Linked DNA regions of Oryzias latipes. The main gene of each other region encodes a partner of the protein of the gene in region 3 in a complex. Links are inferred from orthologs where the notes say so. Each region holds a gene or a part of one and is shown on either strand. Other genes may lie near its edges.

The links.
Region 1: mettl14 (region 3) and cbll1 share a complex: the UniProt entries of both Homo sapiens proteins name them as parts of the WMM complex. The link is inferred for Oryzias latipes from reciprocal best matches to the Homo sapiens genes METTL14 and CBLL1.
Region 2: mettl14 (region 3) and zinc finger CCCH domain-containing protein 13 share a complex: the UniProt entries of both Homo sapiens proteins name them as parts of the WMM complex. The link is inferred for Oryzias latipes from reciprocal best matches to the Homo sapiens genes METTL14 and ZC3H13.
Region 4: mettl14 (region 3) and wtap share a complex: the UniProt entries of both Homo sapiens proteins name them as parts of the WMM complex. The link is inferred for Oryzias latipes from reciprocal best matches to the Homo sapiens genes METTL14 and WTAP.
Region 5: mettl14 (region 3) and rbm15b share a complex: the UniProt entries of both Homo sapiens proteins name them as parts of the WMM complex. The link is inferred for Oryzias latipes from reciprocal best matches to the Homo sapiens genes METTL14 and RBM15B.
Region 6: mettl14 (region 3) and rbm15 share a complex: the UniProt entries of both Homo sapiens proteins name them as parts of the WMM complex. The link is inferred for Oryzias latipes from reciprocal best matches to the Homo sapiens genes METTL14 and RBM15.

The regions. Positions count from the first base shown.
Region 1 is NC_019881.2:9,398,203-9,402,410, forward strand, and holds the start of cbll1 (E3 ubiquitin-protein ligase Hakai), read left to right. Parts: upstream 1-1,408; 5' UTR 1,409-1,500; coding exon 1,501-1,513; intron 1,514-3,278; coding exon 3,279-3,446; intron 3,447-4,056; coding exon 4,057-4,163; intron 4,164-4,208. UniProt on the Homo sapiens protein: E3 ubiquitin-protein ligase that mediates ubiquitination of several tyrosine-phosphorylated Src substrates, including CDH1, CTTN and DOK1. Targets CDH1 for endocytosis and degradation.
Region 2 is NC_019860.2:22,021,527-22,025,026, reverse strand, and holds part of zinc finger CCCH domain-containing protein 13, read left to right. Parts: coding exon 1-124; intron 125-310; coding exon 311-511; intron 512-607; coding exon 608-775; intron 776-866; coding exon 867-1,210; intron 1,211-1,304; coding exon 1,305-1,730; intron 1,731-1,818; coding exon 1,819-2,064; intron 2,065-2,737; coding exon 2,738-3,161; intron 3,162-3,500. UniProt on the Homo sapiens protein: Associated component of the WMM complex, a complex that mediates N6-methyladenosine (m6A) methylation of RNAs, a modification that plays a role in the efficiency of mRNA splicing and RNA processing.
Region 3 is NC_019859.2:14,173,343-14,177,559, reverse strand, and holds the start of mettl14 (N6-adenosine-methyltransferase non-catalytic subunit), read right to left. Parts: upstream 2,801-4,217; 5' UTR 2,404-2,800; coding exon 2,338-2,403; intron 2,108-2,337; coding exon 2,019-2,107; intron 1,774-2,018; coding exon 1,686-1,773; intron 1-1,685. UniProt on the Homo sapiens protein: The METTL3-METTL14 heterodimer forms a N6-methyltransferase complex that methylates adenosine residues at the N(6) position of some mRNAs and regulates the circadian clock, differentiation of embryonic stem cells and cortical neurogenesis.
Region 4 is NC_019882.2:7,325,451-7,329,526, reverse strand, and holds the start of wtap (pre-mRNA-splicing regulator WTAP), read left to right. Parts: upstream 1-1,276; 5' UTR 1,277-1,359; exon of another isoform or gene 1,360-1,496; intron 1,497-1,549; exon of another isoform or gene 1,550-1,626; intron 1,627-2,037; 5' UTR 2,038-2,045; coding exon 2,046-2,075; intron 2,076-2,177; coding exon 2,178-2,233; intron 2,234-2,306; coding exon 2,307-2,365; intron 2,366-2,460; coding exon 2,461-2,588; intron 2,589-3,921; coding exon 3,922-4,076. Other genes in the region: sod2 (superoxide dismutase [Mn], mitochondrial), read right to left, coding at 1-3, 351-379. UniProt on the Homo sapiens protein: Associated component of the WMM complex, a complex that mediates N6-methyladenosine (m6A) methylation of RNAs, a modification that plays a role in the efficiency of mRNA splicing and RNA processing.
Region 5 is NC_019863.2:6,227,229-6,231,505, reverse strand, and holds the start of rbm15b (putative RNA-binding protein 15B), read right to left. Parts: upstream 2,801-4,277; 5' UTR 2,242-2,800; coding exon 1-2,241. UniProt on the Homo sapiens protein: RNA-binding protein that acts as a key regulator of N6-methyladenosine (m6A) methylation of RNAs, thereby regulating different processes, such as alternative splicing of mRNAs and X chromosome inactivation mediated by Xist RNA.
Region 6 is NC_019865.2:10,859,931-10,863,925, forward strand, and holds the start of rbm15 (putative RNA-binding protein 15), read left to right. Parts: upstream 1-1,195; 5' UTR 1,196-1,359; coding exon 1,360-3,897; 3' UTR 3,898-3,995. UniProt on the Homo sapiens protein: RNA-binding protein that acts as a key regulator of N6-methyladenosine (m6A) methylation of RNAs, thereby regulating different processes, such as hematopoietic cell homeostasis, alternative splicing of mRNAs and X chromosome inactivation mediated by Xist RNA.

The DNA.
Region 1 (4,208 bases), on a different chromosome or scaffold from region 3:
CTCCTCTTTATCAGTCGGTTGTGGCGAGTGCTGTCTTCCATGGGGTTGTCTGCTGGGGTGGCAGTATGACCACGAGGGATTGCACTCGATTGGACAAACTGATTAAGAGATGTGCATCTGTGATCGGGAGGAGGGTGGACTCTCTGGGATCTGTGCTCCAGAAGAGAATGAGGGCTTTGACTCAGAGCATCCTGGACAATCCCAGACATCCTTTGCACAACACGATGTCAGGTCAGAGGAGCACACGGAGTAATAGACTCCTTTCACTGCGCTGCAGGACAGAGCGCTTTAAGAACTTATTTGTCCCTACAGCTATCAGGCTGTTTAATGAACCTGCCTGATATGAACTGATATTATTTTGTGAACTGTCTTTTTACTGTTGTTTGTTGTGTGTGGTTGTGTGTTTTGCTACCGGACACCTGAATTTCTCCTTTGGGAGATTAATAAAGTTTATATCTATCTATCTATCTATCTATCTATCTATCTATCTATCTATCTATCTATCTATCTATCTATCTATCTATCTATCTATCTATCTATCTATCTATCTATCTATCTATCTATCTATCTATCTATCTATCTATCTATCTATCTATCTATCTATCTATCTATCTATCTATCTATCTATCTATCTATCTATCTATCTATCTATCTATCTATCTATCTATCTATCTATCTATCTATCTATCTATCTATAAGCTGCATGTTTTTTAAATGTTTTTCTACATTTGACCTCAAAGTCCAGGCCCTGGGGGTGGTTGGGTGTCCTGCATGTTTTCCAACTAGCCTGGCATTGCAGTTTCTTTTGGGCGAAGTACACCTGTTCCAGATGTTAACAACCCTGCTTGCTAAGGGTTTATAAAACCCAGCATTTAGTATGTACAGGGAATGGGTTTGCTTCAGTTAAATTGTGAGGGTTATTTGTTGTTACTTCATAGCAGTTTATTTAATCTTACAAGTAAAAATACTAAAGTGAGATATTTCTATAGCAGTTTTTGTTTGATCGTCAGTAAATTTGGATGGTCACAATCACGCTTGGTTTTAAAAAGCCTCATGTTTTCTCAAAACCTTTTGAAAGTTCACTCTGATGGATCATATGTTGAATTAAATAGTATACAATAGTAACAGTCAGTGGAATTAAATTCTCTTTAGATGTGTACTTCACAAAGTTTAGAGGAATACCGCACTACTGATGAAAAAAGTAACAAATACTAGTAAAAAATAAAATATACTGAATAAAAACAATGATCATAAAACAATGAACAGGTCAAAAGCATATAAGAATAGGATAACATGGTTTAGACATAATTGAGGGAATGGTTTATACCAGTTGAGAAGCAAACATAAAAGATGGAGACATGCTGCTCTTAAACCAGCTGTGGAGCACTTTTAAACATTTAAACTTTTAAAATCCTATCTTGTTCACTTGTTTCCTTTCCTTATCTTTCACTTCCTAGTTCTTTTTTTATCCCAACATGCATTGCGCTCGCTAGATGGATCATGGACCAAAGCGGTAAGCAAAAAATGCTTAGTTTGGCCTACCGTAGCTATGTTCTTTCTTCCTTTCTATTTCACACACTTTACTGCAGCACCATAGTCTCTGTTTTAGCAGCTGTTTGGGTGGTCAAAAGCGCTGTTTTCTGTTCATTTTTACTTTGAACCTCGTTCGATACCGTTAAAGCTAGCATGAAATAAGCTAGCTCAGAAATGTTCGGGGGTAAAAAAAAAACGCACGTTAGTCCGTGAAAGCTGAAATGTTTTCTTTTATCTGGTTAGCAGGTTGTTGCACCATAGACGTATTTGGGGCTTGACTTCTATCATTAGCTATCCGTTTTTTAAACGGAAGTTATTGTAAAAGTAGTGACTGAGTTGGTGAACCGATGCTCGAGTGTGTTAGCCTGTGCTACTGCCAGCGGCTGCGGCGGCTAAACTTTTCAAAGAGTCCGTGGTTCAGTTAAGCACATTTGCGTCCTATATAGCTTTTTTTATTTTGGTTGTTCGGTGATTTGGGGCTGAATTAATCTAAGTTTGTAGCACCAATAACTTGATTAAAAAGGAAAGCTAACTTTGAAGTTTTACGAATATTACATGAATTTGTCAAAAATAAATCCTAGTCAGATGGAAAGGGCAGTGTTTTTATCACGTGATCTGATCGTCTTCATGAAGGGCACATTTGAAACTGGCTATGTAGCATTAATGAAGCACAAATTACTCAAAAGGGAACTGAATAACTGAATCACAGAGGCTTACGAATGTAGGGTAAAATGTTTTTGTTTGTTTGTTTTTCAAAATTAAAGGGCCCATATCATGCAAATCAACTTGATGAGCTTTTAAGTGTATTATAATGTTCATTCCTCACAAAACAACCCCAAGGCGGTGTTTTGATCCACTCACACATCTCTGGGTCCTCAAAGCCCCTCCCAATCCATGTAAAACGCGTGGGTCCTCACATCACAAAGTGAGAACAGCCCCTTCCAGGAAGAGTCTGTGCTGCCAGCACCGCCCCCAGGCTAACACACACGGCCACACAAGCTAGCAGGGATCAGCTAAACGTTTTCATTTTCTATGCATGATATTCACATCCATCTTTGCAAAAGTTTGGATGTTTGTTTCTGTGGGTGAAACGTGTGACGTCATGAAATGGGCAGCACCAACAAGAAGAGAAAGGTGGGCCTCAGAGATCAAGTCATCTTACTTTCGGCTTGGAAAATGAGCTGCGAAAATAACTCCTATTTAATTTAAAAAATGGTTCTTTAGTGTGCCAAAGGTAATACATTTTTATATATAAATATAGTTTACTCTGGAAGCATAGCAAGATATAGGGCTTTTAAAATCCTTTCCATTTTGTCTGGGGTTTTTTGTGTAAGGATATCTGCCAGTTAGGTTTAGAAATTAAATTACTAAAGTTTGTCCACAAATTAAGATTTTAAATGTGAAATAGAACAATACACACAGGAAGCAGAAGGATAAAAATCACCAAAAACACAATATCCCGCTTTATTTCAGTATTCCAACTCTGCTAGCAGCAGTTCTCAGTTGATTAATGGGACAGAACTTCTTAATTCTAAAGCATTTCTGCAATTCTTCATAAAGTCGCACCCTCTTATTTATTTCAACTTGTAAAAATAAAATTGAGCCAAAAATAAATGAATTAAATTCATGAAAACACAAAAGCAAAGCGTGCAAAGTTGATATTTGTGATATTCATATGTTGTGTTTTACTCTGTGATTTTCAAAACAAAATCGGCGATTTATGTTATTTATGCTTTTGTCAACAGACAACGATCTTCAAGGAAGCGATTGCTCTGGGACCTTGGGTGGCCTGGATGTTCGGAGGCGAATCCCCATCAAATTAATTTCTAAACAGCCATTAAGGACTAAACCTCAGCTGCGCCTGCCGAGACCTGTTGGTAACAGACCCTGTAAAAGTGAACCTGGAGACGATGGTAGGCATCGGGCACAGTTCAACCTGCATTTTTACCCTTTTTTTTTTTAGCACAGAGTAGTAGTACCACTTAATTGTGGTTTTCTGTGTCGAAACTGAGCTGCTTTCAGTGTTGCCTTTTTTGATCCGATAATATCATGGTAAATGGTAAATACTTATACTTGTATAATGCTTTTCTTTGAAGGCCCAAAGCGCTTTAGTCAAGGCCCCATTCACACACATTCACACACTGGTGGTGGCTCTGATGCTGAACCTTCCACCAGTGTCTTGCCCAGGGACACTTCGATACATGGACGGGCCAAGGCGGGAATCGAACCCGTAATCTTCTGCTCGGAGGTCGACCTCCCTACCACTGCCCAACAGCCGCCCTAATGAGGCTGCTCTCTTGTGACTTGACCTGACTTACATTGCTTGCATGTCAATCTTGATGTGTTTATCCTACAATAATCTATCATATCTTTAAATAACTTTATAATTATTATTTAGTTTTAATCAATTTAACAATTTTTTAAAAAATGTTACCGCACTTTTCTGGGGTTGAGCTGAGGACTGCACCCTGTGGGTGTTGTGGGCTTTTTTAGCATCTTTGTGTTATTCTCTGGCTTTCTCAGAAAAGTTCGGCTTCAAGCAGGAGGATCGGTTTGACTGTGGCGCTAAAGCTGGGGATGTGTTTGGAAGTCAGAGAAGATTTCCGCAGCCTCTGTTATGGGACTGTAAGGTATGGTGGCTATAAAGACGGTTTCACTTTGCTGACAGTGTCATG
Region 2 (3,500 bases), on a different chromosome or scaffold from region 3:
CCAAAGATTCACCTTCATCCAGAAGGTCCAGCTCCCCGAAGCACAAAAGTGGAACCAAAGGTGCCGGGTCCAGCAAGAAGGAGAAGAAAGCCTCTCTGACTTTGGCTGTTTCAGAAACTGCAAGGTATTTTGGAGCGACACGATTTAAATGGAAATCTACAGAAATGCTTCCAATGTCTCAATACGGACGTTTCCTGTCTTAAATCCTGCTGTGGGGATTTTTTTGTGTCGTATTTGGTCATTTTTGCACCTCAGTTTATCCGCCCACGTCTGTTTTTGTGTGGTCTAAGACGTTTTTGTGATCCATCAGGCCCTCCAAAGGCAGCCACAGTAAGAAGAAGGGCCCCCGCACGCCCAGCCCTCCCCCTCCTGTCCCGCTCGACCTCCCCGTCGTTGGGAAGAAGCACAAAGGGAAGCACAAGAACAAGGAGAAGACGGAAGAGAAGCAGAAGGAGGGAAAAGACCGCGGAAGAGATGTGGAGAAGCACAAAGAGAAAAAGGAAAAACGACGGTACAGTTCAGCCGTTTGAAGTGTTTTAGCTCGTTTAGCCGACTCTCATCAAACTGTTGCTTTTCCTTCTTCTCTGTTGATGCTACATTTTTTTAGGGACCGATCCGATAGTTCCCATAAGGCCAAACGAGTGCAGACGTCAGATGAGCGGTCCAGCAGCGTGTCGTCCCCCTCTAGAGGCGTGTCCCCCTCATCCAGGAAGAAATCCGTCTCCCCCAAAGTTTCCTCCCATAAGACTTTGTCCCTTTCGTCTCCTCGCCGCAGGTTTGCTTCATAACCGTGATGATCTTTTCTTTGTTTTAAACGCTATAACTGATGAGTTATATATATAAATATATATTTTTCCTCATCCCAGGTCTCCTTCCTCCTCCCGACACCAGCGTTCTCCCTCTCCCTCCCGCCACCACTCCCCCTCCTCCCACTCGGGGTCTTCTGCCCAGCGCCACTCTCCATCGCCTCGACGCCGCCGCTCGCCATCTCCGGTTTACCACCGGAGCTCCGCGGCGCACGCCTCCGTCTCCTCGCCCACGAGTTCCCGTCGCTCCCGGTCCCCACCAGCCTCCCATGACACCCCCCCATCTCACCGGCGTTCGGAGAGATCCACCCCGAGCCGGCACCACTCCAGGGGCAGAGAGAGGAGCCGGGGGGAAAGGGAGAGAACTCCACCCCCCCAGGAGCGCAGACATGAACACAGAGAAGGTATCTTTCGTTTTGTTTTTTCAGAAAATCGTTCTTATAGCTATCATTTTATGGGAAATTGATCAGATTTTTCTTTTATTTGTTTTTTTTTCAGATCGCGGCAAGCGGGACAAAGATGGCGTCCGTGAAGACAGAGACTACGACTCCGAGCTGATCGCAGCCCGAGAGGAAAGGGAGTCGAGGGACGCTCGTGACCGGCGCGATGTCCGCGATCGGGGGAGGGAACCGGTGCGAGAGTCCCGCGACAGTCGCGACAACAGGGACACGAAGGACTCCAGGGACAGCAGGGGGGACGGGCGCTCCAGTCGGGAGTCACTGGAACGGCGGGATCGAGAGCGGGAGCGAGAGAAGGAACGGGACAAGGAGAGGGAGAGGAACGACTCCTACAGGAAGGAGGATGCAGGTCAGGACGACAGACTCTACGCTAGAGGTCACGGACGCGATGACGGCGGCAGAAGCGAGGGTAGGACGGACCGAAATGGACGAGGAAGAGGCCGTCCAAATGAAACGGTTGACAAAGGTGAGACATGTTTGTGATGAAGTGTTGTTTTTTTTTTTGGTTCAGTCGTGGCTCCCGCTCTGAATATCCTCCGCTGTCGTCTTCTCAGGCTCACTCAGAAACTCCCGCAGTTCCCAAATGGACAGCAGCTACGACAACTGGGAGTCCCGGAGCAGCGCCGCGCGGGACCGAAGCCTGGAGAGAGGCGCAGACCGCAGCACGACCGAAAGAACCTCCGAGAGGGTTCCGGACCGGGATCGCTACGAGGGGGAGAGGCGGGAGCAGCCCCGAGACTCCTCCTACGACAGGAGGGGGGGCCACGGCGAGCGGGACCGCAGAGACACCCGGGACAGAGGTGAGACGACGGAGGACAATTTGTTTATTGGGGCCGCAAAAGCAGATTCCTGTTCACAAACCTAAAGACAACCTGATTTTAATCTATGATCAATTCTGCAACTCTCACCTGACAAGTCAAGATCCTAACAATCACTTTAATTAAACCTAACGTCCTTTATAAATTATTTTTATTTATTTACTTATGGGTAAACCAGAAAAGTCTTTTAAATAGACCTTTTTCTTAGAGATGGCAAAATAAAGGCTTGTTCCTCAGAAAAAATTAATTAACATTTGAAGAGTTCAACTTAATGTATGTTTTGTATTTCATAAAAAAACATTTTCTTTTTTTTATTTTATTTAAAGAAGGGTAAAACCTTTTTTATTGAGTTAGAGGGTGAACACAACGGCAAAAAGTGTGACGTTCTAATTTGTATTGATATTTTAAAGGAGGTAATTTATCGATAGAAATTAAAGATTTGTGTAAAATTTTTAGTTGTGAGTTTAAATCCAAGCTTTTTTATTTTATTATTTATCCTTCTCAAAATAATAAAATTTAAAAAAGTAGGAGTCTGCTGCTGGCCATCATGCAGAATGCAGCCTTACATTGACTTTCCTTTTTCTTTTTTCATCTTTAAATGTAATTATCCAGTTTGTATCATTTGTAACTTTACACGTTTCTCTTTTTCCTGCAGATCAAAGGGCCGTCTCTCCCTCCAGATATCCAGGCAGGTCGGAAGAGTCCGACCGGGACGATCGACGGACAGACCGGTCGGAGGACAGACGGGACGACCGGGCCCGAGAGCGGGAAAGAGAGAGGGAGAGGGAGAGAGAGAAGGAGAAGGAGCGAGAGAGGGAGAGAGAGAGGGAAAAGGAGCGGGAGAAGGAGAGGGAGGCAGAGAGGGAGCGAGCTCGGGAGCGAGAACGCGAGAGAGAGCGTGAGGAGAGGGAGAGGGAGCGAGAGAGGAAGGAGAGGGAGAGAGAGAGGGAGCAAAGGGAGCGAGAGAGGCAGCGGGAGTGGGAGGAACGGGAGAGGGGGAGGGAGGAGAGGCGGGAGAGGAGAGACGACGTCCGGGAGGATCGGTCCGTTCGAGACACCCGGGAGGATCGCAAGCTGAGGTATGTGTGGATGCCAGATCTCTGAAATGCAGCACGGAGTCACCATTTATGATAATTAGCAGAAAATTAGGAGAAAAATTGCTTTACATTGGACAAAGAAAAGATTATATATTTAAAAGGTGAACATTTCATGACAATAAAGGTGTAAAATTAAAGAGAGAGTCAAAGTTTATGAGAATAAAATTGTGAAGTTATAAGAAAAAGTCTAAATTTTTATAAAAGTACAATTATTTTTTAAAAAAAAGGACATTTTACGAAAACAAACAGACAAATATGAGAAAAGGTTACAAAATAAAGTTGTGATAAATAAATAGTCGTACAATTATAAGAAAAAAAGGC
Region 3 (4,217 bases):
ATCACTTGATTATCAGATTTTCTGACCAGCAAAGACCTGCTGTTCTGCTTTTAAATAGTCCAACTCCACTCTGCTCATAATTCTAAATTATTGGCACCTGTTTGAGGTGGTTAGCTTCCATAAAGGCACCTGTGCCCCCCACAATCAGTCAGAAGTCTAACTACCAACATGGGCAAAACCAAAGAGCTGTCAAAAGAAACGAGACAAAATTGTAGACCTTCACAAAGCTGGAAATGGCTATGGGGCAATTGCCAAGCAGCTTGGTGAGAAAAGAACAACTGTTGGAGCAATTGTCAGAAAATGGAAGAGGCTAATGATGACTGACAATGTCCCTCGGACTGAGGCCCCTTGCAAGATCTCACCTCATGGGGTATCGATGATGCTAAGGAAGGTGAAGAATCAGCCCAGGACTAAAGGGGAGGAGCTGGTCAATGACCCGAAGAGAGCTGGGACCACCGTTTCCAAGGCTACTATAAGTAATACATTAAAACGTCATGGTTTAAAATCATGTATCGCACGGAAGGTTCCCCTGCTGAAGTCAGCCCATGTCAAGGCCCGTCTGAAGTTTGCCAATGACCATCTTGATGAGCCAGAGGAGTCATGGGAAAAAGTCTTGTGGTCAGATGAGACCAAAATAAAACTTTATTGATCTTAACTCCATTCGGCGTGTTTGGAGGAGGAAGAAGGAGGAGCATCATCCCAAGAACACCATACCTACAGTGAAGCACGGGGGTGGAAGCATCATGCTCTGGGGGTGTTTTTCTGCAGAGGGGACAGGACGACTGCACTGTATTAAGGAGAGGATGAACGTGGCTCTGTATTGTGATATATTGGGCAAAAACCTCCTTACCTCAGTCAGAGCGTTGAAGATGGGTCGTGGCTGGGTCTTTCAGCAGGACAATGACCCGAAGCACACAGCCAAGAAAACCAAGGAGTGGCTCCGTAAGAAGCATATCAAGGTTCTGGAGTGGCTTAGCCAGTCTCCAGACCTAAATCCAATAGAGAATCTTTGGAGGGAGCTGAAACGCCGTGTGTCTCAGCAACAGCCCCGAACCCTGACAGATCTAGAGAAGATCTGTATGGAGGAGTGGGCCAAAATCCCTGCTGCAGTGTGTAGAAACCTAGTGAAGAACTACAAGAACCGTTTAACCTCTGTAATTGTTAACAAAGGCTTCTGTACCAAATATTAAAGTTGTTTAACTCAAGTGATCAAATACTTATTTGTCACAGTAATATACAAATAAATTGTTTAAAAAAATTGTACAACGTGATTTCTGAATATTTCCTCAGATTCTGTCTCTCACTGTGGAAATGCACCCATGATGAAGATTTTAGACCCCTCCATCTTTTCTTAGTGGGAGAACTTGATAAATCACAGGGTGATCAAATACTTATTGACCTCACTGTATATAATTCCACATGTGTTAATTCATAGTTGTGATGCCTTCAGTTTGAATCTACAATTTTCATAGTCATGACAATAAAGAAAACTCTTTGAATGAGAAGATCTGTCCAAACTTTTGGTCTGTACTGTATGTATGTATGTACACTTGCTATATATAAAAAAATGAATAAACAAAGTAAACATGACTGAATTAAGAACTATAGACCTAAGCTGGAGAGCAGACGTTCTATGCATGTGCAGGTTCGCAGTAGTGGTAACAGTCAGAAAACGTAGTGCTCACTTTCTGTTCCTCCACATCCTCCTCTGTGTCCTCTCCTTCTGTCGGCTGCTTCCTTTTGGAAGAGGGGAGCAGGCTGTCATATGAAGCCCTGCACAACACAAATATTTATGATTTGTTTCAACATCCCTGCATCAGCATGCACAAAGATCAATGCACAACTTTAAGGGATGGAGAAAGTGATTTTTATCCAGAACTACATCTGGATTCTAACAAACTAGTCACATAGCATAGTTTCTGACTGATTAGCCATTAGCTACAGACTATGTTTCTCTAACCGGCTCCATACAAATATTATTGGGGTTTTGTATTTTCCGTGGATGAATGTTGTGCTACCTGCAAGTTTCTCTGGTTTCCTCGATCTCCTTTAATTCATCCTTGCTGTGAAGGACAGCTCCAATGCTGTCAGCGCTTTCTGCCCCCAACTGTGGGAGTATATTGAAGAATCAGACTGTTTTTGAGGACAACAATGCAAGCAAGCAATGCCAAATGCGTAGCTAACTCATAATTAACCATTATGGAGATGTAAACACTATTAGAAGAGTGATTCAGAGTGGATACAAATATAGAAAGTGTGTTTCTTCGACTTAAACTATGATTATGTTAGCTGACTGTAGCTGTTTGCTATAACAACAGCGACTCTGTGTGTACTTGCCTGTTGGGCTAACAGTTGCCGCCTTAGTTTTTGCCTCTCGCGGATCTCTTGCAGCCTACTGTTCATATTTCCCCTCGTGGCAATTTGTCACAGAAGATTAAAAACCGCGTGGGTTTGTTTTTATTCGGAATAGATTAAGTATTTCATTTAGCATGGAAAGCAACATGCAAGCAGTAGCTAGCTGGCTCTCAGAGAGAAAGCCGCTAAAATATATTTAAAGGGTACGCTCGATATTAACCTCGTCACATCCGAACCAAGTTGAGTTTGTCTAAGTCGTAACGGACGTTGGTGAAATTTTATTTATTTTGTAATGTCGGTGCTCAATTGTAGCTAATTTACCTTAAACCTTTAATATAAATGAATTAAGCTGTAGCGTTGAGCGCATACAGACATTGAAATGCACGAGAACCGGAGCACGCCGGTGAATTTACGATTTAGCAAAATTGTAACTGGTCGCGTAATGATGGCGTCATCTTCAGAACGCATGTGTTTGACGTTTAGAGTTTGCACAACAAGCTGGTGCAGCATTCTATGATCCACTGTGATCTTTTTCCCCATCTGAGGCCTTTATATGGATCATATTGATTAGCTAAGCATGCCCCTATAATTAACCAGGGTATATCATTTTTTTAAATCAAAGATTAATATATAAGAACTTATAACCTTTTCTGAAAAACGTTTTTAATGGTGTTTGTGGAGGGGTGCAGCGAAGGGGGTAGGCTAGGAAATCCGATATGGCCACTCGTGGAATACCATTGGCTACCTTTGCCCCGAGATATATACATTACTGATGGATGTTCAAATCCATCAAGCTATGCTTTTTCCAAATGTGGACTAACACTCACATACTGGTTCAGGGTATTTTTAATTTACGATCAGGACCAGCTTTACCCTTTATTCTCATTTAATTTTTTCAGGGGTTGCTTCAGTAGGCTAAATCACCCACCTCTATTCTACCAAGACTAACACACCAACTACTCTCCATTATTTCTGTGGACCTCCTCTTGATCTGCCCTTAAGCCTCATTCCTGCCAGCTCTAACATCAGCATCCTTGAAAGGATGCTGAATACATCTACACATTCACAATCTGGCTTCCCTGCATTTATCTCCAAATGATCCTACATGAGTTGTTCCTTTGATGGATTTATCCACGATCATCCATCTTCATCACTCCTAAAGAGAACCTCAACATCTTCATCCCTAACACATCCAGCTCTCTTGACTTTCTCAGTGCCCCTAACTGTAGAATACATTGCCATTTCCATTCAATTTTCAATTAAACACAATATTTGTAATCAGAACAGTCAACCAATGAAAGATCTTTTTAAGGGTAAGCCTATATGAAATAAATATTTATAAATTGGAAAATAAAAATCAATAACGTGATTTTTGAATTGACATACAAAATATTAATTGATCATTCAGAATTACAGTAGTAATATATTTCAACTTCAAAATATGTTTTTTGTTGTTGTTGAAAGCTTGGATTATTGAGCATTTTGGATGTTTCAAATTCATACATTTTTTTTAAATTAGTGATGGAACATTTTCATTCTAAAAAACGATTTTAATTGCCACTGATACCCAATTTCTGTAAAATCTGCAGCCAAAATGGAGAAAAAAAAGGAGAAATAGCTATAAAAAGACTCACTTTGTGTGTACAATTTAATTAAATTTATTGAAAAACTTCAACTGAGCATTAGAATTTTTAGAACCTGTGCATTTACCATTTTAACCACCTAGTCTTTATCAAGATTTTCTAAGACAATGCAACCCAGTTTAGCCATCCCAGTAAAAAAAATACAAATAAATAATAATAATGATAAATGAATGGGAAAAATAGGTCCGGCACGTGTCACTGTCATTGTGGGGCTTGGAG
Region 4 (4,076 bases), on a different chromosome or scaffold from region 3:
CAACTGAGAAGGGGGAGAAAAGGCAAAAAACTCAACATCGTTGTGGCAAATAACCTTTTTTTAGCTTGTGATTTTAGCTCAACAAGCCAGTGACATTTACCAACCAATTAAAGTAAGAAATAGAAAACATGAACGAATTTGTACATGCAATAATACTTAAACGCTTACACTATACTAAGAGTTGTTTTCGTTGTACGTCACAAGTTTTTAACTAAGCAGCTAAACCAGATTAGCATTGAAGTTAGCTAACAGTTAGCACAACAAAGCAAACAGTTTTCCACGCTGCTGATACAAGTATTTTCTTTTAGTTTTTGAACTTTACATAAAAATATAACGTAGACACATCTTACCTGCGCATTTGCCAGACTTTGCAAAGCATGTTTGCTTAAAGGTTAGAGAGCCAAGAAAAGTGAAAACAAGGCGGTATTACTGCCCTTGAAATGGGCAATTTCAACTTGACAGCGGAGTCGACCGTACCATTATCAGAATATGGGGATGTTATCGAAAATGGCTTAAATTCATATAAGCTTGAAAGGCAATATATACTATTTTTATATATATTTATAAGATAATAATTATATTTTCGGCAATTCAATTGCAACCAACGTCATCTTTTAAATTTTGAGATTTATTTCTCGGTCTTACCACTTTTCCTTAGCCCTGTCTTTTGGTAGATACCGAAGATTTATTGTAACATGGGGCCACATGTGTGCGAAAAAAATTTTTTTAAGCCCTTTTCGTTTATTGTACTCAAAATTTAATCATATTAAACTATACAATATTTGTAAGGTTGAAAATTTGTAACAACTTTGCGTCACGATTAAAAAATAACTATGTAACCATTGGAATCACGTGGTCTTTGCGTCACTGTGTTGAAATGGATACCAAAGATCGTCTATATCTACAACGAACCACTCTACATAATTTAAATGCGATCTGTTGTGATTGTAAATTTTGTGATCAAAGTAAATCCAGTTTTTTGGTTTGCAATGCAAAAAAGATGAAAAGACGCGTAAGGTTATGTCACATCAGCAAGGAAATAAATTAATTTCCCTTTCTTAGTCATTACAACATTTGAGAATAGTATTGGGTCAACAGCTTTGGATCGTTTTCTTTAGATAAACTAATAATGTAATACATCGCAAACCCAGAAACATTCAAGGAAAAACACAGAACTAAATGCAGTTTTAAATCTTAAAACATTTGATCACAACCATTTTGATTGTCCGGAATTTTAGGATCGGAAAATGTGAGCGTAGTGAGCAGACTTTTCTCTCCTGTCCACTGCTGGTATTACTCCGCAGAAACTCAAGTGCAGTGCAGCACCTCATCCTCCAGAGCCGTCCTGTTCTTCTCTCGGTAAAGGGGATGATTCTGAACACTTAAAGACGAGGCCACAACTTTTAATCAACCACCACTCTTTACGCATTTAAAAACAGTTACAGAGAATCTGTAAACCTCGAAGGTTTTTCGAAACATTGAAGCGAACGGGCCCGGTGAGTGTTATGATCGCGTAGGCCGCGTGACTGCAGCTAAGAGCCCGCTAGTTTCAGGAAAAGAAGCGCAGGGGTGGGAGTCATTTCCTTCACCGCCATTTTGTTATAACAAGAAGCCGAACATAGCTAAGTAATTATACACTTGATGCTTAGATAAACGACACGTTGAAAGATAACATCGCAGGTCTCTAAAATGTGTTTACGTCGCCGAAATGCTAAACGATTATTAGCAGTGAGGGGTTAACCTTGAGTACTTTTTAAAGGAAACCCTCCGCCGCTGACTGCAACAGTCGTTAGTAGTACTCGGCACGACATACCCTATTATCGGGTTATGTTCACTTTAGTTTCGCGGGTTTGTTGAATATAGCAATGGCAGTTCACTGTTGACACTTCAGTTTTGTCGGGAAGGCCCGTTTATAATAATTTTTGAGGGCGTCTGTGATCAAACGTGACGTCTAATATTTAACTGCGTGACGGCCAGCGCGAGGACAGGATGCCCAACAAAAAAAATAACACGTTTTCTGCTTATTTTCATTCCTAGAGAGCACAATGACCAACGAAGAACCTCTGCCCAAGAAGGTGAGTCTGATCCAGATTAAAACTACTCTTTAAGGGTGCTGTTGGTTGGTAATGGATGTCTAAGCAGCTTTTTGTTTATTCTATTTTTATTTTATTTTACAGGTTCGCCTCACTGAATCTGATTTGAAGACCTTGACCAGAGAGGAGCTGTGTACACGGTAAACAACAGCCCCTGTCCCCTCCTGTCTTCTGATGATGTTGAGCTGTTTACATGGATCTCATTCTCCTCAGGTGGAAGCAGCATGAATCATATGTCCAGGTCTTGGAGACTAAATATGCAGAGCTGTGTTGTAAGTTCACTTAAAAAATAGATCTAGCCCGTTGCATCGCAGAGTGTCGGCTGATGAGTTTGTTTCTCTTCCCTCCCATCATCCACCCCCCTCAGCCAACGACGTCCCGGGCCTGAAGGAGTCTGAGGAAAAGCTAAAGCAGCAGCAGCAGGAGTCGGCTCGGAGGGAAAACATCCTGGTCATGCGACTTGCCACCAAGGAGCAGGAGATGCAGGAGTGCACAGTAAGTCTCTCGCTCAGGTTTTTAATATGCAACACTAAAAAGATGAGTTGTTCTAAAGTTGCAGCACCTGGAAGAAATATTTAATGCTTTCTGTATCGTTACAGTATAATTTCTAAACATTTTTCTGCCTTTATTAGATAGAAAGTTTGAAGATAAAATGTTAAAAGCATAAGAATCACTAAAAAAACTTGACAAACCTGAAAGCATCTGTCTTTAGGGGATAAAAACACCAAAATATTAGATTCTTTTTAATTAATATTTCTTTTCAAATTGCCTACAAGGTGGGGGTTGTTTTTTATTTTGGAGTCTATCAATTTACCAAGACACATGTTAAGGATTTATAAATTGCATGAAAGGGAATGTGTGTTAATGAGAACACATCTTGGTTTGTAATCATTCTAGATGAGAACAAGTTGTGGTGGTTTGCAAGCTTTTACATCCAAATATTTAAAGTATTTTCTTTCTTATCACTTTTTAGATGTGGATACTGAATCGCCTGTTTGCTATTTTAAAACGACACTAGAGTGAAAGCAGCTTTTACTTAAAGCCTCGGATGAAAATTGTGTTTTTGACATGTTCTTGTGGGGTTTTTCTAATGGAAGAGGACATATTTAAAGACAGTTAGGCTTAAAGTTGCATTTCTAAGTATTTCTTTATTCAAATCATGAATCAGGAGTGGTTGGTAAAATTCTGCTACATAGGAAAATAGACTGATCTCTGATCTGCTGCATTCTGATCCATCCACTTGTAGGCAGATCCACGTGCGTCTTTGTTTTCCTCGCCTGAGCTGGCATCAGGCTCAGAACTCGTCTGGAAGGCTCCAGTATTGCTCACGATTTTTGTTGCGCTGGTAATGTTAGGTTGAGTCTGTGAAGGGCTGTAAGCTAGCAGGAGAGAGCGATAACAAATGGGTGGAGAAGCAGAGGCAAATTTCTAACGAACAACTGCCTTTCTGCAGAAAATATGTCCTTTAAAATAAAGATATTTTTTACATAATTTTTTTCTACAATTACTTTGTTTTTATATTCTATTTCCTTTTAAGATTACAATGCTATTGTAACACACAAATTTCCCATGTGTGGGATCAATAAAGTGATTCTGATTCTAAAAACAACATAAGCGTAATTACAAGACCACTGGGAAAGTTTTTAAAATCACTCAAAAGAGGATCGAAGTGGGACTTAAAACTAAGCGTCTAGACGCAGATTAGCCTAGATTTTGATCTATTTGAAAGCAGTTTTGTTACATTTTTAAAGGGAAGATGTTTAGGTGTTAAAAGCAGCTTCATAATGTGTGTGACTGGACTCTAACACCTGCCTGTTGCCTCCTACAGACACAGATCCAGTACCTGAAGCAAGTCCAGCAGCCGAGTGCAGCCCAGCTGCGGTCGTCCATGGTGGATCCAGCCATCAACTTGTTTTTCCTCAAAATGAAGGCTGAACTGGAACAGACTAAAGACAAACTGGAGCAGGCCCAAAATGAACTGAG
Region 5 (4,277 bases), on a different chromosome or scaffold from region 3:
GATGGCGCCCTGCAGAGCCAGCAGGATGGCAAAGCCGTCAGGGCGGCCGAGCTTGATGCGGCGCGACACCTCGTCCAGCCGGGTCTGGTCCATGCGCAGGCGCTGGGCAATTTTCAACTGGCTTGGCTGGTTCCGGTTCTGCAGATTCAGGCTGTCCTTCAAAACGCCGCTCAGGAAGGAGGCCCCTCCCTCCAGCATGTACAGCTCCGTGGGGAAGCTGCTGTTCTTCAAGGCAAAGAAGCCCTGCCACACCTTGGTGAGGGAGCCCTGGGCGTACTCCGACAGCGAGCTCAGGGTGGACGAGGTGTCCGTGTGGGCAGCGGGGGGGCTGGCGGCGGCCACGTCGCTGTTTCGATGGTGGTTGTTGACGCTCGCGGACCTCTTGCTGTGGTGACGGCTGGATGGGGGCTCTTCCTCTGTGGCATTTGCGTGTCGCCCCCCTCCACCACTGTCAGGGGAGTGGTCTCTTGGCTCAGTGGTGGAGTCCGGGGCTCGAACCCGTGCTCGGTCTGGGCTTGCATCAGGGGAGGCGGTGCCTCCCGGAACTCGAACCCTCGACCTTCCCTTTTCTTTCTCCTTTTCCTCCGACTGCTTGTCGACAGACAGACTTCTGCTTCTCCTGCGGCTCCTCCTCTCCTCCCTCTCCTTCAGCCAGCGTTCCCTGCTCCTGCTGCGGCTCCTCGCCCCTCGGCCAGCTCTTCCAAACGCCTCCACTCCTCCCACCCTCCTGTCCAGGCTTCGGGTGGGGCTGCTGGGAAACTCTCTCTCCAGCAGGACCCTCTCTCTCAAAGAGAGGAGGCTGTGGGAGGGCGGTGAGGAGCGCTCCCTGGTTCCTCTCAGCTCGCGCTCCAGGCTGCGATGGCGACTGTAGGCCTCTCCAAGGAGGTCATAATGCGTGGGGGGAGGCACAGGAAGCTGGTAACCAGGGGGAAATGGGCGGGAGGGGCTCTCCTCCACTTTAGCAAAGTCCACCCTGAGGCGGCGCTCTGGCCCGCCCAGAGGAAAGCCCCTCATCTGGGTACAGGCGGCCTGGGCTGCATCCAAACTTTCATACTGGATGTAAGCAAAGCTGTCGCCCTTCACATAGTCAATGTTCCTAATGCTTCCAAAGCGGTCAAATTCCCGCGCCAGAGCGGTCAGCGAGTTTCCTGGTCCCAGACCGCCCACCCACAGTCGGGTGGTGGGGTTGGCTTTGCCGTATCCGATTTTAATTGGGTTTCCACCAATAAGACGGCCCTGCATGGCCACTTTGGCCCTGTGGGCCATGTCAAGGTTCTGAAACTTTACAAAGGCATAAGCCCCGCCCTGGCCGCGTGCTGGCCGTTTGATGACCACGTCCTCAATGATGCCGTATTTATCAAACCCTCTCCTGAGTTCAGCCTCCGTCACATTCCCGTCCAGGTTTCCGATGAACAGGTTGCTGGTGGCCCTCTGGTCATCCTCGGGCTTCAGGTCCTCCACTACAGGCATGGGGGGGAACGCGTAGGGCCGCCCCCTCTCATCCAGCATACCATAATAGTCCAGCAGCCTTTCCCGGTCTCTGCTCAGACCCAGGCTCTCCAGCGCAAAGTGTCTGGCCCGGAGGTCCCGCATGCTGCTCACGCCGGTCCCGGGTGGGGACAAGGAGCGCTGTCTGTACGGATAGGGGGCGTGTAAAGGTAGATAGCTGACGTCCGGGGGGGTGACGCTCCGCCTCCTAACGTACATGGGCTCTATTTTGAGCTGTCTATCACCCAGAGCCAGCCGGGAGGACTTGGCGTGCCGGGCCTCCTTGGCGTCCTCCGGCTGTCTGAAATTGACGTAGGCGATGCGGCCGAGCTCCGGCGTGTGCGACAGCTTCACGCTCACGTCCCCGAACTTTTTGAATTCGTGGAACAGCGCGTCCTCGACGTCCTCGTCCGACACCTGCGAGCCCAGGTTGCTGATGAGCAGCGTTTTGTACTCCAGCGTGCCGGGTCTCGCGGCGGGGAGCTCCGCGGCCCGCAGCGGCGGCCGGCCCAGGAGGCTGAGCTCGTGTCGGTGGTGGAGCTCCAGCGCGGCCGCGCGCTCCTCCCGAAGGCGCGGCTTCTCCCGCTCCCTGCTGCGGCTCCGCCGGTGGTAGCTCCGGCTCTCCGCCAGCAGCAGAGCCAGCGGCGGCGGCGGCGGCAGCTCCTCTCTGCGGGCGCTCTCCCGTTCTCTCTCTCGAATCCGCTTGGCTAGGGCCCTGGATGGGCTGCCGTCTCTCACGGCCTGCCGCTTCATTTTCCAATAATGATGGAGAGTTTCAACTTTTTTTCCGAGCCTGCAGCGGAGATCCGGCGCTGCTGCGGATTCCGGGAGCGTTAGCTCGGAGACGGCGGCGGCGCAGGCTGCTTCGGTTAGGGGGCGCTTCCAGAGCGGGCTCCGAGTGGTCACACATTTACGGGGAAAAGAGGAGAAGCCTTTAAAAACATGTCAGCATCACAAGAGCTGCACCAGCGCCGCCATCTTGGACAATAGGAATGTGCGCGTTCCCAAAGGAGGGCGGAGCCTGTAGTGACGCAAGCACGTTGCACGTTTTGATTTGAAAACTCCTGCATACCAAATTGTCCTTGTTTATTAGGTTTATCCATTTTTCAAAGGAAATCAAAATAACACAGCAAGCAGATGATACTGCATTATTCTTAATAGACAGAAACCACATTGACCTTGATACAAGTATAATTAATTATTTTTCAAACGCTTCTGGATTACGTCAATAGAGATTACGTCTTAGTTTAGTTAAATGTCAAATATTATTAAAAAGTTAACCCTCGTGCTAACCTATGACCCCACCCTTGCATTGACGTGTTCTTCCTACCATGACAAAGGTGGATAAAGGTGGAAAGATTTCATGTAATCCATGGACACCAGTGAAGATCACAAATCATTGAAGAAAAAAGGTTCAGAGCACTGTCTAGTGGGTCTAGATGACCCAACTCCCAATGTTAAAGTGCCTAGGATAGCACAAAGGTTAAAATGGTTAAAGAAAAACATGGTATCCCTGTTAAAAATGTAGTTACATATTTAGGCACCAGTATAACAATGGACAGAAAATCTAGACAAACACAAAACTTCTCCTTGAGAATTAGAAAAAATGCAAGATGTCATGAATATGTGGCTTCAAATAGATCTATCTATTTTTGGCGGGATCCTCTTGGCTAAAGCGAAAGGTATCTCAAGAGAAATTTCTCCTAATCTATCCTTATCTTTACTTCTGTTCAACTTCCAAAGAAATAAACAACCTCTTAGTTAACTTTGTATGGAAAAATAGACGTCACTATCTTCAGAAAGAACTATTTTATGCCCCCTCATGCAAAGGAGGTTATGAACTCCTACATTTCTCAGATTTGAATTATACATTTAATGGTTACTGGATTCAAAAAGGCCTTTAAGACTCAAAATCAATTTGGTACTTTATCCCATTTAATATTTTATAATAAAATCGGGGGTCTTCAATTTCTTTTTAAATGTAAATATCAGAAAGACTCCTGTCAATCTTTAAAATTTGTATCTGCAAGTTTTGTCGTGCCTGGACGTTATGCTATGCACATTATTTCTCACCAAACAAAAGTATAACTTGGAACAATGATGATATAACCATCAAAAATTTGATCTTTTTGATGAGAATGGCAGCCATCGATTATGACAGGTTCTTCAATAAAATGTGTTTTCCAGTAACAAGCAAAGAATTCAAGAGTGTAATGAAAGCTCTTGTCTCAGGAGTAATTCAACTACTGACTTCTAACCTTAAATATCACGAGGAATCTGAAATACACCCTCCTTTAACACTTAATGGTATTGATATTTTCAATCAAAAAATTGCAACAACAAACACATAATACTTTTAGCGAAAAAAGAAGCATAACACCTAAAGGAGAAATTTATTGGAACCATATTTTAAATTATATCAATTGGAAAAAAAGCATGGTTACTGCCAGATACATTTTGAATAAACAATAAAGTTAAAGAAATACATAAAAGAATTTCAAATAACATTTACCCCACAAATATGTTCATTTCTAAATTCTAAAGATAGATAGAAAATAACTGTAGTTTTACTTAAATCAGTTCATCACCTTTTCTACTGTTGTACATCCTTTCACTTCTGGATCCGTTTAGAACAATTTAAAGAAACAAAGTAAACTAATACATTTCAAACAAATTCTACACATTTTAACTTTGGTGATAAAATGGTAGAAAACGTTATTAATTTGTTGCTTCTCCTACCTAAATTTTTCATACAAAAGGGCAAAGTAAGAGAAAAAAAACTCCCAAAT
Region 6 (3,995 bases), on a different chromosome or scaffold from region 3:
AAAAATGAATAAAAATTTTAAATCATACTTCCAGTTTCACTACTTTCTGGACACTTGCAAAGAGGCTTCCGATTTAGAAAATAAATCATATGGAACATGTCCATGTGTTTTTGTTTGTATCTTTTAATATTCAGTTAATATGTTGATATTTGGGTCATTCCAGAACTGGAGGACATTTGGGCTGCAAAATTCATGAAGAGCAAACTTTGACTTTTCTAATTCTCTGCTATATAATCGTCAATAAAAGGTAATATCTGTCAAAGGCTTGATTAACTTTGCTTACAGATCAACTGCGAAATATTTATGACATTATATTGATGATGACAAGACTTGATGCAACCTTGTTATCAATTTTTGCAAGTAACAGGGTTGCAAACATGTATTAATATTGACTTTCTCTCAGGAGTAGACGCTAGTTGTTTAGCTGTCACTGAGTACCAATAAGAAAATTAATGTGATTTCAATGGCATGCCTTTTTGCATTTCTGACCACCCCAGAATGAATGGTGATATCTTGTTTTTCTCAGTTGCTACTTTACATGCTAATTTGATTGCTTACTTACTCATAAAAAAGCAACAACAATAACAATAATTGTCTTACTCTGATTATAGGGAAACAGGGTTGCATGAGGCGGAGTGAGACATTCAATCTAGGATAACTATGTGTTAAAAATAAAAGATCCACGTAACTTTTGCTCTACCCATTCTTTTTGAATACTGTTTGATGATGTCAAGTCCAGCATATCACTCTTTGCTATATTCTAACCCTCTTACCTGTTATGGTAAAAGGAATTGTGTGGATTCGGTGGGAAACACATTGTATTGATCATAAATAATATTTGAAATACTTCTTTTATTTAAAAAAATCCCACGGTTACATAAAACACCAATCAAAACAAGATATACCAAAAACTGAATCTAAAATTTAATTTTAACTGCTTTTATTGAAGATTTAATTTGGACAATGGGGGACGGGACAAGAAAAAATGCATTTTAGGGGGTACATTGAGCTTATTTGGCATTTTTTAAATTATTTTCAGTAATTATTTTCACTTAGTTTTGCATGTGGATTATTTAAAATAGGTTTATTCTGAAATGACCCATTTTTTAATCCATCGCTGTGTGCGTGATTGACGGGATTTTAAAAGGTTTTAACCAATCGCCGCCCCCCAAACACCGGCCAATCAGCGCATGGAGGCGGGTCTTCTCACAAATCTTAACAAAATGGCGACTGTTGTTGTTTTGCCGCAGGGTCGGTAAATAAATTCTTTGAACGTATTGGATATTTTCTACATTATTTTGTGGAAGGAGTGCAGGAAAAAGCCAGTTACCACAAAGAGTTTACTCTTCGTGGGCTGCAATGAAAGGAAAGGAGCGGTCGCCGATTAAAAAACGGTCCCGGGCCTTGGACGACATTCGAGAGAGGGGAGGATGCCACCCGACCAGCAAGAAAATGGGGGCTCTCTCCGTTTCCAGTGGGAGTAATAATGGAAACAGTTCGTCCAAAAGCGACAGCGGCTCAACGAGACGGAGCTTGTTGGGTGAGAAAAGGGACAGAGATTTTGAGGGCCATAGTCGGACTGGAAATAATCACAGCTGTCAGTCTGCTGCTTCCAGCTCCGTGGGTAAAAACCACAACCTGAGCCTGTCGCTAGACCTAGCCTCCCCGCGAGCCTCTTCGCGCGCGGAGCAGCGTGTTCCGCCGCCCAGCACCGAGAGTGAGTACAAAACACTCAAAATCAGCGACCTTGGGAATCAGCTGAGCGAGGAGGATATAGAAGATGGGCTTTTTCATGAATTCAAAAAGTTTGGCGACGTGAGCGTCAAAATTAGTCGCAGCAACGACGAACGGATTGCTTTCGTTAACTTCAGGAAGCCGGAGGACGCCAGGGCTGCTAAACACGCCAGAGGCCGGCTCGTGCTCTACGACCGGCCGCTGAAGATCGAGGCCGTTTACACGAGCAGGAGGAGAAGCCGCTCCCCCGTGGAGAGGGACTTGTACAGCGCAGCACAAAGTCACAGACACTTGCAGAGACCCCTGTCGCCCACCGGCCTGGGTTACAGAGACTACCGGCTGCAGCAGCTGGCTTTGGGACGGCTCCCTCCTCCCCCTCCGCCCCCTCTGCCCAGAGAACTGGACCGGGACAGAGAGTTCGCCCTGTTTGAAGCCAGGGCACGTCCAGCTTTCCTTGCAGAGCGAGCAGCTTTTCGTGAAGAGGATTTAATATCTCCGGAAGACGACCAAAGAGCAAACAGGACTTTGTTTTTAGGCAACTTGGACATAAACATTGCAGAAGCAGACCTCAGGCGGGCTTTCGACAGGTTTGGAGTCATAACAGAGGTGGACATCAAGAGACCATCACGAGGACAGACCAGCACATATGGATTTCTTAAGTTTGAGAACCTTGACATGGCTCATCGTGCTAAGCTTAGCATGTCTGGAAAAATAGTGGGTCGCAACCCTATAAAAATCGGTTACGGAAAAGCAACACCCACGACCCGTTTGTGGGTCGGTGGACTTGGACCGTGGGTTCCTTTAGCTGCCCTGGCCAGAGAATTTGATCGCTTTGGCACTATAAGGACCATTGACTACAGAAAAGGTGACACTTGGGCCTACATCCAGTATGAAAGTTTAGATGCTGCTCAAGCAGCATGGACACACATGAGAGGCTTTCCGCTGGGAGGCCCAGAGAGAAGACTTCGGGTGGATTTCGCAGACACTGAGCACCGGTACCAGCAGCAGTTCTTGCAGCCTCTCCCTATTCCACCGTTTGACATGGTGGCTGACTCGTTTGTCCACCGCGCCACGCCTGAACCTCTGAGAGTCAGAGATCGGACTCCACCTCCACTTCACTTCAGGGACAGAGAACTCTTTCCAGCAACGGAGTGGCCCAACCCGGCCATTCGTGAGCGGGTCCGGGGATCCCCCTTTGAGCCTCTGGAACATTTGGAACGCGACCGGAGAACTCGAGAGCCTTGGTCTTTGGAGCGTGAGCTGCAAGGGCGAGAACCAGGACGTAAGAGACGCTTATTGGAGGATGGCCGTCACCTAGATCACTCTCCTGACAGCACTGAGAGGACAGTGAGACGTAGACGTTCTTCTCCAGATGGCAGTCCTGGGGGCAGCAGCAGAGACGGAGGACGTTTCAGTGACTCTGAGCATCCTGTGCACAGTGAAACGGCCTCACCAGCCAGAGAACATGTCATTAGCCTTGAAAGAGGTGGGGCGGATCGAAGGGTTAAAAGCCAGAGTCTTTCTGAGAAAGGACTCTCATCTGCTGGTGAGCGGAAACGCAAAGCGGGCGACAGTGGCAAAGTGCCTGCCAAGAGAGAACGCTCTGAAAGCAGCTCTAAAGGAGCCCAGCAATCCAAACCTGATGGCACCAAACTCATTGTGGCATGGCGCGGAATGCTGCTCCTGAAGAACAGCAACTTTCCAGCCAGCATGCATCTCCTAGAAGGTGACTACGGCGTCGCCAGCGACCTGCTCATCGACGGCTCAACCGGAAGGCAGGTGAGCGAGCTAAAGATCACGCAGCGTCTCCGTCTGGACCAGCCAAAGCTTGATGAGGTGTCTCGGCGCATCAAAGTCGCCGGTCCAGGCGGCTACGCCATCCTGTTGGCAGTTCCTGGAAGCACAGAGGACTCCTCTTCATCTGATCCTATGGCCTCAACCCAGCGGCCCCTTCGCAACCTGGTGTCCTACCTCAACCAAAAACAAGCAGCTGGGGTCATCAGTCTGCCTGTGGGAGGGAGCAGAGATAAAGACAACACAGGGGTTCTTCATGCTTTCCCCCCCTGTGATTTCTCTCAGCAATTCCTGGATTCCTCTGCAAAAGCTCTGGCAAAAAGCGAAGAAGACTATCTGGTCATGATTGTGGTTCGTGGAGCATCTTAAAAAAAAAAAAAGAGAAAAAGTCACAATGCACTATGTTCAAGTGGAATATAAGAAAAAACAAGTCTGCTGTTTGTCAGTAATTATTGCATGCTGTGTTC